2 linked regions of the Arabidopsis thaliana genome follow. The protein of the gene in region 1 interacts with the protein of each later gene in a pairwise test. Each region holds a gene or a part of one and is shown on either strand. Other genes may lie near its edges. The genes, in order: CLPB4 and KLCR2.

Evidence for each region.
Region 2: the proteins of CLPB4 (region 1) and KLCR2 interact in a two-hybrid assay, tested with the Arabidopsis thaliana proteins (one large-scale study listed by BioGRID).

The regions. Positions count from the first base shown.
Region 1 is NC_003071.7:10,696,831-10,703,769, reverse strand, and holds CLPB4 (casein lytic proteinase B4), read left to right. Parts: upstream 1-1,566; 5' UTR 1,567-1,771; coding exon 1,772-2,017; intron 2,018-2,092; coding exon 2,093-2,311; intron 2,312-2,394; coding exon 2,395-2,629; intron 2,630-2,833; coding exon 2,834-3,029; intron 3,030-3,112; coding exon 3,113-3,167; intron 3,168-3,305; coding exon 3,306-3,456; intron 3,457-3,716; coding exon 3,717-4,025; intron 4,026-4,125; coding exon 4,126-4,391; intron 4,392-4,582; coding exon 4,583-5,512; intron 5,513-5,605; coding exon 5,606-5,893; 3' UTR 5,894-6,141; downstream 6,142-6,939. Other genes in the region: AT2G25150 (HXXXD-type acyl-transferase family protein), read left to right, coding at 74-325, 508-1,188; AT2G25130 (ARM repeat superfamily protein), read left to right, coding at 6,811-6,939. UniProt on the Arabidopsis thaliana protein: Molecular chaperone that does not seem to be involved in heat stress response or tolerance.
Region 2 is NC_003074.8:10,379,706-10,385,085, reverse strand, and holds KLCR2 (Tetratricopeptide repeat (TPR)-like superfamily protein), read left to right. Parts: upstream 1-1,836; 5' UTR 1,837-2,246; intron 2,247-2,427; exon of another isoform or gene 2,428-2,461; 5' UTR 2,462-2,492; coding exon 2,493-4,273; coding exon of another isoform or gene 4,274-4,277; exon of another isoform or gene 4,278-4,362; coding exon 4,363-4,573; 3' UTR 4,574-4,856; downstream 4,857-5,380. Other genes in the region: AT3G27950 (GDSL-like Lipase/Acylhydrolase superfamily protein), read right to left, coding at 5,315-5,380.

The sequences.
Region 1 (6,939 bases):
AAATATTATAACATTGAATATATTATCAATACATAATCAAGATAATATATTGTTCACTTTGTTTCTTTTGTAGGTTACCAAGTTTGCCTGTGGAGGATTCACCATTGGCACCGCATTGACACACGCTGTGTGTGATGGATACGGTGTGGCTCAGATCATCCATGCCTTGACCGAGTTGGCTGCAGGAAAGACTGAGCCATCGGTGAAGTCAGTGTGGCAGAGAGAGCGGCTGGTCGGAAAAATTGACAATAAACCAGGCAAAGTGCCCGGTAGCCATATTGATGGTTTTTTGGCCACCTCAGCATATTTGCCAACTACTGATGTCGTATGTCATTTTGTCAAGCTTATTTTATACTCTCTCCGTATCAAATTAATATCATATAATTAAAGTAATGATTCAGCTATTAATATCATATTAAGTGATGATTTAGCTTATTAGAAGATCTTGCAAATATTTATTTTTGTAATAATTAGGTTAATGATTTTTATTTATTTATTATCCAACAGGTCACAGAGACAATAAACATTCGTGCTGGGGATATAAAAAGGCTTAAAGACTCTATGATGAAAGAATGTGAGTACCTTAAAGAGAGTTTCACTACTTATGAAGTACTTAGTTCATACATATGGAAATTAAGATCTCGAGCCCTAAAACTAAACCCTGACGGGATCACTGTCCTCGGCGTGGCTGTTGGAATCCGACATGTTTTGGACCCACCACTTCCTAAAGGATACTACGGTAACGCTTACATAGACGTCTACGTCGAGCTAACTGTGAGAGAACTCGAAGAATCATCAATCTCTAACATCGCGAATCGTGTGAAGAAAGCCAAGAAAACAGCCTATGAAAAAGGGTATATCGAGGAAGAGCTAAAGAACACGGAGAGATTGATGAGAGATGATTCAATGTTCGAAGGGGTAAGCGATGGATTATTTTTCTTGACGGATTGGAGGAATATTGGTTGGTTCGGATCAATGGATTTCGGTTGGAATGAGCCAGTGAATTTACGACCATTGACCCAGCGGGAGAGCACAGTGCACGTAGGGATGATCTTGAAACCTTCAAAATCGGATCCATCAATGGAAGGTGGAGTTAAAGTGATCATGAAGTTGCCACGAGACGCAATGGTTGAATTCAAGCGTGAGATGGCTACTATGAAGAAACTTTATTTTGGTGATACCAACTAACTTTATTTTGGTGATACCAACTAACTTTAGTTGGTGCCTGAATGATTTTCTATGTCTGTTAATGTCTTAATGAATGCTTTTCATTTGATGTCAGTGAATAATGGGTAAATATATTCACGGGTGAATATATGTAATACTCAATATGTTCATGTAATACTTAATCTGTTCATGTCATGAATAATGAATAAAGAATAATACATATATATGTATTGATAATAAATTGATTTGTTGTGAAATATAATGAAACAAGCAAAATTTTCTTAAACATATTACAAAAAAAGGGAGGTTTTCGAGCAAAACTAGAATTAATAAAACAAATGCAACTTGGTTTACTACTATACCAAAAGACTCAAATTGCTAAACTGAACCGAAAATCGGTTTAGGTATTAGCCTGCCTATAGAAAAACCCAGTGGTGGATCATCACTGGAAACTTCTCGATGAAATGACTTTCTTCTACAAACTTCTTTTTCCCTCTTCTCCAAGCTTACGCTTGTCTCCATGTAAAAAACCTCCGTCGTCTTCTTCCTCCTCCTTCATAACCCTAAACCAAAAACCCTCATTTCCTTCAATCTTCTTACTCACATGGCGCTAAGGAGATTATCAAAGTCTGTTTCGTCAGCCATCAAAGCTCAATACACTCTCTCGAGACCCTCTCCTCTCCTCCGTTCTCGCTCTCTCTCTTCCTCTCCTCACTACACCTCTATTGGCCGGCCAACAAATTCATTCATCGGAAAAATCAATAACTCTTCTATCACTCATGCGACTACTACTCATGGTCAACTCTTCCCTCTTTCTTCTCCGCGACGCTTTTGTACTACCACAGCTCAGGTTCGTGCTCGATTTCAGTGTTAGTTGCTCAATTGTGAACTTGGAACTGTTAATTTTATGGTTTAGTGATAATAGGTTAATCAAAATGAGTTTACGGAGATGGCATGGGAAGGGCTTATCAACGCCTTTGACGCGGCTCGTGAATCGAAACAACAGATTGTGGAATCTGAACATTTGATGAAAGCTCTTCTTGAGCAAAAAGATGGTATGGCTAGAAAGATTTTCACTAAAGCTGGAATTGACAATTCCTCTGTTCTTCAAGCTACAGACTTGTTCATATCTAAACAACCAACGGTACGGTGTTGCGCTTAATCTCTCTTTTTCTGTGTATCAGAACATAATTTTGCAGGTCAATTTAAGTTGTTGTGATGTTGCAGGTTAGTGATGCAAGTGGTCAGAGACTAGGGTCATCTCTTAGTGTTATATTAGAAAATGCAAAGAGGCATAAGAAAGATATGTTGGATAGTTATGTATCCGTGGAGCACTTTTTGTTGGCTTATTATTCAGATACAAGGTTTGGACAAGAGTTTTTCAGGGACATGAAACTTGATATTCAAGTGCTAAAGGATGCTATTAAAGATGTACGCGGTGATCAACGAGTAACTGATCGGAGTAAGTTACTTCGAATATAGCTAGTACACTGTGTAGATGATGTTTTATATATGCTACTTGTGACAATCAAAGACTTGACTGGAAAAATAATGATGGTTTTATTCTTATGTTCTACATTGAATTCGTGAACATTGGTAAGTAGATGTAAGACGTGTGTTGGTGACATTTGCCTACTCTCATCACGTTTTGCTAATACACATGTAGATCCTGAAAGCAAATATCAAGCACTTGAAAAGTATGGAAATGATTTAACTGAGATGGCTAGACGAGGGAAGCTGGATCCTGTCATTGGGCGGGATGATGAAATTAGGCGTTGCATCCAGATATTATGTAGGAGAACAAAAAACAATCCGGTTATTATTGGTGAACCTGGTGTAGGGAAAACTGCAATTGCAGAGGGGTAAGACTTGTAGTTATATCCCTTGTTTTTCTTTTCTTTATCAAATATTATGTTCTTACTCTGCCAAATTTTAATCTTTTCAGGTTGGCTCAACGAATTGTGCGAGGAGATGTCCCTGAACCTCTCATGAATCGAAAGGTTCATTCCAGTAAATTGCTTCAGTTTTCTTCTTGTTCTTTTTGGCCTTGGACTGTTTTGTTTAATGGACCACAGTTTTCTCGTAGAAAGGCTGGAGGAAGATTCTAACATGTTTGGCTTGGTTTCTCTATCATGTAGTTGATATCTCTCGACATGGGTTCACTTCTTGCTGGTGCCAAATTTCGAGGAGATTTTGAGGAGAGGTTGAAAGCAGTAATGAAGGAAGTATCTGCTTCCAATGGGCAAACAATCTTGTTTATTGATGAGATCCACACTGTTGTTGGTGCAGGTACCTTTTTCATTTTATCCACATACTTTAAACATTGATGATCTTTTTTATACACGATACATGTACATATGCATAATAAATGGTTAAAATGTGGCTGAGTAGAAGAACATTGCATCGCCAAATAAATGGTTAAATTGGAGATGGAAAATTTTATTGAAAGATCTACTAATATTGTTAATCTTGTTTCTTTTGACTCACTTTAGTACTTTGTTATTGGTAAGGTGAAACTAACGAATTGGCTGCTATTTACTCTTATTTAGGAGCTATGGATGGAGCAATGGATGCAAGCAACCTCTTGAAACCAATGCTTGGACGAGGTGAACTGAGATGCATTGGTGCAACTACACTGACCGAATACCGCAAATATATAGAGAAAGACCCAGCTCTAGAGCGTAGGTTTCAACAAGTGTTATGTGTTCAGCCCTCTGTTGAAGATACAATCTCGATTCTTCGTGGGTTAAGAGAGCGGTACGAGTTACACCATGGCGTTACTATATCAGATAGTGCCCTTGTTTCAGCAGCAGTTCTTGCAGACCGCTACATCACCGAACGCTTTCTGCCAGACAAAGGTATGGACATTGGACTTGCACTTTCCCTGATTACAACCAGTTTTCTTTGGGAAGTGTTTGACCATAGTATTTTTTTCTAAGATGAATGTTCTTTTTTCAGCTATTGATCTTGTTGACGAAGCTGGTGCAAAGCTGAAGATGGAGATCACTTCTAAACCAACTGAACTAGATGGAATAGATAGAGCTGTGATCAAATTGGAGATGGAAAAGCTTTCTCTTAAAAATGATACTGATAAAGCATCTAAAGAACGGCTACAGAAGATTGAGAATGATCTGTCCACGCTCAAACAGAAACAGAAAGAACTCAATGTCCAATGGGAGAAAGAAAAGTCGCTCATGACAAAAATACGTTCGTTTAAGGAAGAGGTAAAATCTTTCTCAATCACTATGCCTTTTCGACTTAACGTCTCATAAAAATAATTTTATACAAGACACACTGCAGTTTCTTGTTCTAAATTCGTACTTTTAGTGGTAGTACTTGTGGTGGTTGCTTTCGTTGTTGGTATATGTCGACGTTAATGTCCTCCGTAACATTTTCTATGTTCTATGTTTTACAGATTGATCGAGTTAACCTCGAAATTGAATCTGCTGAACGTGAATATGATCTAAACCGAGCTGCTGAGCTGAAGTATGGAACACTTTTGTCCCTCCAACGCCAATTAGAAGAAGCTGAGAAGAATCTCACGAATTTCCGACAGTTTGGACAGTCACTACTCCGAGAAGTGGTTACCGATCTTGACATAGCAGAAATAGTAAGCAAGTGGACTGGTATTCCACTATCTAATCTTCAGCAATCAGAGAGAGAGAAGTTAGTGATGTTGGAAGAAGTGCTCCACCATAGAGTTATTGGTCAAGACATGGCTGTAAAATCAGTAGCAGATGCTATCCGACGTTCAAGGGCTGGTCTTTCTGATCCTAACCGCCCAATAGCTAGTTTCATGTTCATGGGTCCAACAGGTGTTGGTAAGACCGAGCTTGCCAAGGCTCTAGCGGGATACCTTTTTAACACTGAAAATGCAATAGTGAGGGTCGATATGAGTGAGTACATGGAAAAACACTCAGTCTCACGGCTTGTTGGTGCACCACCTGGCTATGTCGGTTATGAAGAAGGTGGGCAGTTAACTGAAGTTGTTCGCAGGAGACCTTACTCGGTGGTTCTGTTTGATGAGATCGAGAAAGCCCACCCTGATGTCTTTAATATCTTGCTACAACTGCTAGACGATGGAAGAATAACTGATTCTCAAGGAAGGACCGTAAGTTTCAAAAACTGTGTTGTAATTATGACGTCGAATATAGGATCTCACCACATACTTGAGACCCTCCGCAACAATGAAGACAGCAAAGAAGCAGTTTATGAGATAATGAAGCGGCAAGTTGTGGAGTTAGCAAGACAAAATTTCAGGCCTGAGTTCATGAACAGAATTGACGAGTACATAGTTTTCCAGCCGCTGGATTCTAACGAAATCTCCAAAATCGTAGAGTTACAGGTAACTAACCCTTTTAAACCCACTTTGTTTTTTCAGAATCTTTGTTCTTCTAAAGACATTAGCTTCATGTTATTACATTTGTGTAATGTGCAGATGAGACGGGTGAAGAATAGCTTGGAACAGAAGAAAATCAAACTTCAGTATACCAAAGAGGCAGTGGATCTCCTTGCTCAGCTTGGCTTTGACCCTAACTACGGGGCAAGGCCGGTGAAGCGAGTGATTCAACAGATGGTGGAGAATGAGATCGCTGTCGGGATTTTGAAAGGAGATTTTGCAGAAGAAGATACCGTTCTTGTCGATGTTGACCACTTGGCTAGTGACAACAAATTGGTTATCAAGAAGCTTGAGAGTAATGCTTCAGCTGAAGAAATGGCCGCTTAATTGCACAAACAAAATTAGACGATTCGGGGTTTAGCGTTTATAACTCTTTTGTTCTGTCTTTTGTAGATTCGTACTTTAGTGTTGCTCTCTCTTCTAACTCGTACGGAATGTAATGTTTTGAGGATTATCTTTTGCCGACAAAAGTAAATGGGAACACACCGACTTATTCCTCCGTTAGCATTTGAAATTATGAACTTTATGGAGCTTTTAAGGACTCACGTACCAATGTGGTACTATTAGAATTTGTCACAGATCTGATTTTCAAGTAAGGAGATTACAAATCTTACAAAATCAAAATTGAAGAAACGTTTTTGACTTGGAATAATAATTTTTTTAACCACGTTCTCATGTCGCTAGAATTGAATCGGATATTCGGATCCTTCTCTTTAATAGCTTCCGACATTGAAGTATTTGTTTATTCTTAAGTAAGTTTCTTATTAATTCGTGTGTCTGATATTTAAACGAGTTAGTATTCTTACTAGTGATAAAGTATTAGTTAGGGACTGAGAAATGTCGGTCGTGTCATGCAATGAGGGAAACAACCTGGTACATGGAGTCTAAACAATTATCGTTTTCTTAGAATTGTACTTTTGAAATTGCGAAATGAGCCTACAAATTATAATCAAAATTTAGCTATATTTTTACTATTTGAATGATTGAACTAATTTTGATATACGTTCGTTATGTTCGTCAAAACTACCCAAAACCCGACTATATATAAATGTGAAACTTCTAAATTCTCAATCTTAAAATTAAATATTCTCTAGATCTCCACAATATTGTTTTTGTAAAATATTCGATAAATCTCTTTAAAATCATTTTGGTTCCTCTGTTTTCGCTTCCAAACAGAACAAACTCTTTTCTCTCTCCCTCTCTCTTTCTTGCTTCCTCAAGCTCTATAGAACTGATCGGCGATAATGGCGAAGTGTCACCGGAACAATGTTGATCCTCTCATTCTCCATCGTATTCCCTCCGCTTCTTCTTCCTCTTTATCCGGAAACACCTTCTCCGGATCGTCATTGCGCAGGATCATCTTCGACGCCATT
Region 2 (5,380 bases), on another chromosome or scaffold:
CTTTGCTTGTTTCGCAAGTATTCTTGTTTCATCACGATTCACGAACGAATGTATTTTACGCTAAGTAGAAAATTTTTATTTGTTAGACAGTTATTGTACAATTCAATGACTGATGTTGTGGCAAATTTGTCAAAATTTATCAAACTTTTGTCAGAGATAGTATTTGACAAATTTGTCAAAATTATATACGTTCTGACCTAAAATTTTCGAAGAAAACAAAAACGTGTTGGTAATATAAAACGCGTAGGAATTTAGAAAACCAAATAATTTGTGAACAGATAAGATTTGATATGGGATTCGAGCGGCGAAAGAGTTAAAGAAAACAGCACCGCCCAACAGTCGTCAATGATTACAATTTGTTTTCAGTTCATAAATTAATCCAATGAATTGCTTATGAACTGACGATAAAAAAGAATTGCTTATAACTTTGTGAATAGGAAATAATAAAGTATTTGTGGTTACAGAGTTGTCTTTATGCAATATACAAAAATAAAAATCCGAAGGAAGAGACGTTGTTAGGTCTTAGAATTATGAACAAACGTGTGGGTTGTCTCTGTCTCTTGTAAGAAACCAAGTCATACATAATTTGCATATATAATATGACCGACCAACCAAATAATATAATGTTATGGGCTCTTAACAAAAACATATATAAATAGTCATTTCGTTGTGACAAGAAAAAAAAAATAAATAAAAATAATAGTCATTTCGATATTTTGTTGGTTGGCTAGTGAAAAAATTGCCTTAAGCGCATTATCGTTTTTTCACAATAAAATTGACTCATGAAATATGGGAACGAGAGTTCTATAAAAATTACATTTTGGGTAGGCCCTACACTGATGACTATAAGGGCCCATAAAGCCGTAATGGGCTTAAAGGTGGACCACATCTGGACCATAAAACCAGGCTGTCTAACTGGTATGCAGCTGTAGTCCACGTGTCATATCATTTCGTCATTAAGAAAAATTCTTACTAAATTAGTGATTCAATCCTTTAAATCCAGTGGTCCAATTTTTCTTTCCATAAAGAGTTAAAGACTATACTAAAAAAAAAACACTGCATCATTATATCAATCAAAAGGCTAAATTTTTAACTGTTCACGTTTTTAATATTACGTATATAGATTAGAGATCATGGGATGATCATTAGAGATAATTGATGATTAAGTATGACACGTGGCGGAATCTCAACGGTACTTATTATACAGCTGTGAATTTGTAGGGTTTGACGTAGACTTGTGAATTGTGATCTTTCCCCAGCATTTAATTAGCTGGCTAATTAACCTGCAAAACTCAATTTTTTTTTGTTCTAATTTAACTCATTAAATCCCTAAAAAATTGCATTTCAAGGAAACAATATTTCTTTTAGGATAAATAAGAAAAATAATTAATTCTTAACGGGCAAAACTCAAACTTTAACTTTAAAAAAACAAATTCATGAAAAAATTGCATGTGAAGGAAACAATATTTTTTAAAAGTTTTAATTAAAAAAAAGGTAATCTTGAAATGGATGAAACATTCATTTCATAGTGTTTAGTTTCCAGAAAGAATCTCGTTTTTTTCTGCTGTAATTTTTGGGGAATTATTTTTTATCTGTCGGTTTTACTTTTCCTTCTTTGAAAATTTGTAATTTTCTTTGGTTTCACAGCAAATTTTTAATCAAATTTTAGATGATAAAAAAAATGGATGAGACATTCATTATTATTTTTCAAAGAGATAAATTTATTTATAAAATTGAGGAAAAAAGATAAATTATTTAAAGAGAGAGTGCAAGTAGGGAAGAAGTCATCTTCTTTTTATTGCTTCAAGAGTCAATCATCTTCAAACCTAATGATCTTCAAAAAAATTTCTGGTTATGCATCTCTTTCTTGAAAAAATAATCATATAATCACATCAAAAAGAGTCAATTATCATCTTCATTATCTTAATATAATCAATCAATAATTCAATTTAAAAGGTAAATTAAAGTAAGCAATGTAGACCCAAAAAAAAAAGTCTGCTTTTGTTTCAAAACATATAAGGACAGTGAAAGGGTTTGTGCATAAATGTTGTTGCTTCATCTTTCTCATAACATTAGCTATGAGATTATGAAAGTGAAGATATAAAACAAACACCTAAAAGTGAAAAGTACAAGACACCAAATCCTTCATTTTCATCTCTTACACAACCACACTAAGTTACCAAAAAACAGAATCTGTTCTTTTTTTGCCTTCTTGCAGATTTCTTCAGAGTCAAAGACACATAAAGGTTCGATTTTTATCTCTTAAAATCTTCAAAGTTTTCGTTTTTCTTTTCAATTTCGTTGAATTTGATTCTGGGTTTTGTTCTCTGTTAGTAACTGAATCTATGTCAGCTTTAGATAATTCTAGTTAGGGACTTATGGTTCTCAATTTCGAGTCTTTTGATGTTATCTTGTTGTTTTAACGGATTTGAATCTAAAATCTTGGTCTCCATTGATTCAGATTTATAATTGAGTTGTGAGTTTTGGAGGCCATGGACGTAGGAGAGAGCAATGAGAGGGTAAAAGACGATTCTGCCCTTCAAGCTTCACCGAGGAGTCCTCTGAGTTCTATAGATCTTGCAATTGATGGAGCTATGAATGCTTCTATTGAGCAGTTGTATCATAACGTTTGTGAAATGGAGAGTTCTGATGATCAGTCTCCGTCCAGGGCGAGTTTTATTTCGTATGGAGCTGAATCTAGGATTGATTTGGAGTTGAGGCATTTGGTTGGAGATGTAGGAGAAGAAGGAGAGAGCAAGAAAGAGATTATCTTGGAGAAGAAGGAAGAAAGTAATGGAGAAGGTAGCTTGAGTCAGAAGAAACCTCTTTCGAATGGTAAGAAGGTTGCGAAAACGAGTCCTAATAATCCGAAGATGCCGGGTTCGAGGATCTCTTCGAGGAAATCACCGGATTTGGGGAAGGTTTCTGTTGATGAGGAGAGTCCTGAGCTTGGTGTGGTGTTGTTGAAGCAAGCCAGAGAGTTGGTTTCTTCAGGTGAGAATTTAAACAAGGCTCTTGATTTAGCGTTGAGAGCGGTGAAAGTGTTTGAGAAATGTGGGGAAGGAGAGAAACAACTTGGGTTGAATTTGGTGATGTCTTTGCATATCTTGGCAGCGATATATGCAGGGTTAGGGAGATACAATGACGCTGTGCCTGTTCTTGAACGTTCTATCGAGATACCGATGATTGAAGATGGTGAGGATCACGCGTTGGCGAAATTTGCAGGGTGTATGCAGCTTGGTGACATGTATGGTTTGATGGGTCAAGTTGAAAATTCGATTATGCTATACACCGCGGGTTTGGAGATTCAAAGACAAGTTCTTGGAGAATCGGATGCACGAGTTGGCGAAACTTGTAGGTACTTAGCGGAAGCTCATGTTCAAGCAATGCAGTTTGAAGAAGCCTCAAGGCTTTGTCAAATGGCATTGGACATTCACAAAGAAAACGGTGCTGCCGCTACAGCTTCTATTGAAGAAGCTGCGGATAGAAAACTGATGGGACTTATCTGCGATGCGAAAGGTGATTATGAAGTTGCGCTTGAGCATTATGTTTTAGCGAGCATGGCAATGTCATCTCAGAACCATAGAGAAGATGTTGCTGCTGTAGATTGCAGTATTGGTGATGCTTACATGTCGCTAGCTAGGTTTGATGAAGCGATATTCGCATACCAGAAGGCTTTAGCTGTGTTTAAGCAAGGAAAAGGTGAGACTCATTCCTCTGTTGCTTTGGTTTACGTTAGGCTTGCTGACTTGTACAACAAGATTGGGAAAACACGCGATTCCAAATCGTACTGCGAAAACGCTCTCAAGATTTACCTAAAACCGACTCCAGGAACTCCTATGGAAGAGGTTGCGACTGGTTTTATAGAGATTTCTGCGATATATCAGTCAATGAATGAACTTGATCAAGCTCTTAAGTTGTTGAGACGGGCGTTGAAGATATATGCAAACGCTCCAGGTCAACAGAACACGATTGCAGGTATTGAAGCTCAAATGGGTGTGGTTACTTATATGATGGGAAATTACTCCGAGTCCTACGACATATTCAAGAGCGCGATATCAAAGTTCCGCAATAGCGGAGAGAAAAAAACCGCTCTTTTCGGGATTGCTTTGAATCAGATGGGACTAGCTTGCGTTCAGCGTTACGCGATCAATGAAGCTGCAGATTTGTTTGAAGAAGCGAAAACTATTCTTGAGAAAGAGTGTGGACCGTACCATCCCGATACATTAGCGGTTTACAGTAACCTTGCTGGAACGTACGACGCAATGGGAAGGTAAATTTGGAACTTAAAACAATTTTCTTGCTAGGTTATGTTTTTTGGTATTTCCCTGCGGTACAAGCAATGTGTTACTTGCTTTACAGGTTAGATGATGCTATAGAGATATTGGAGTATGTTGTTGGGACAAGAGAAGAGAAGCTCGGGACGGCAAATCCCGAGGTTGAGGACGAGAAGCAGAGGCTTGCTGCGTTGTTGAAAGAAGCTGGAAGAGGAAGGAGTAAAAGAAACAGAGCACTTCTTACCCTTTTGGACAACAACCCTGAAATTGCAAATGGACAGAGACCGGTTTATTGATTAACCGGATTATTGTCCGGTCTAAAATGTATATATATACAAAATACAAGTTCGAATACGGTACTTACACGGTCGAGGGAGAAGGAAAAAAATGAAGAGGCTTTATGTTTTCTAGTTTTATAAAAAGTGAAGGAAAAAAAAAAAAATCTTGCATTTGTTTTCTTTATAAATAAAATGTAAAGAGTAAAACGCAATTGATTTGGTCGTTTTGTAATGTGATTTACATTGAAATTTTGGAGTTTAAAAATCTCCTTGATGGCAGTTTCTCTAACTTTGAGCACTGATCTTGAGTAAACAACAAGTGTTTGGTTACTAAAACATCTTGTCTGGTCTTGTCATGTAATGTTCATGAATGTCAACAAAAAACAATAACCGAATATACACATACATATGTAGCATGAGAACATAAAGAGACGACCCACCGAATCAAGAAGTTGTCACTTAGCAAAGCAACAAAAGAAAAGTTGTCACTAAGCAAAAGATAATCTGAACTAAGCGGTTTAAAATTTCTTACCAAACAAGTTACTGATTATTTGATATAGTCTTTTATATAATAACTAATATGATAAGATGTGAATAGAAACATTCTGCTTAAAGCTGCATATATTGTAACCAATGACTTTTTGAAGAAAATTTTACATTGATTCAAAAACAAAAAGAGAGATGTGAATAGAAATTTTGGCTAGTTACTTGAAAGCACCAGAAATATGCTAGACATTTATTAGTTTATATCATGGCAACTTATTTTTTCGTGAGTTTACATGCTTTTTGGGTAGGGAGAGGTGGATCCGATATCGAACCATCGAG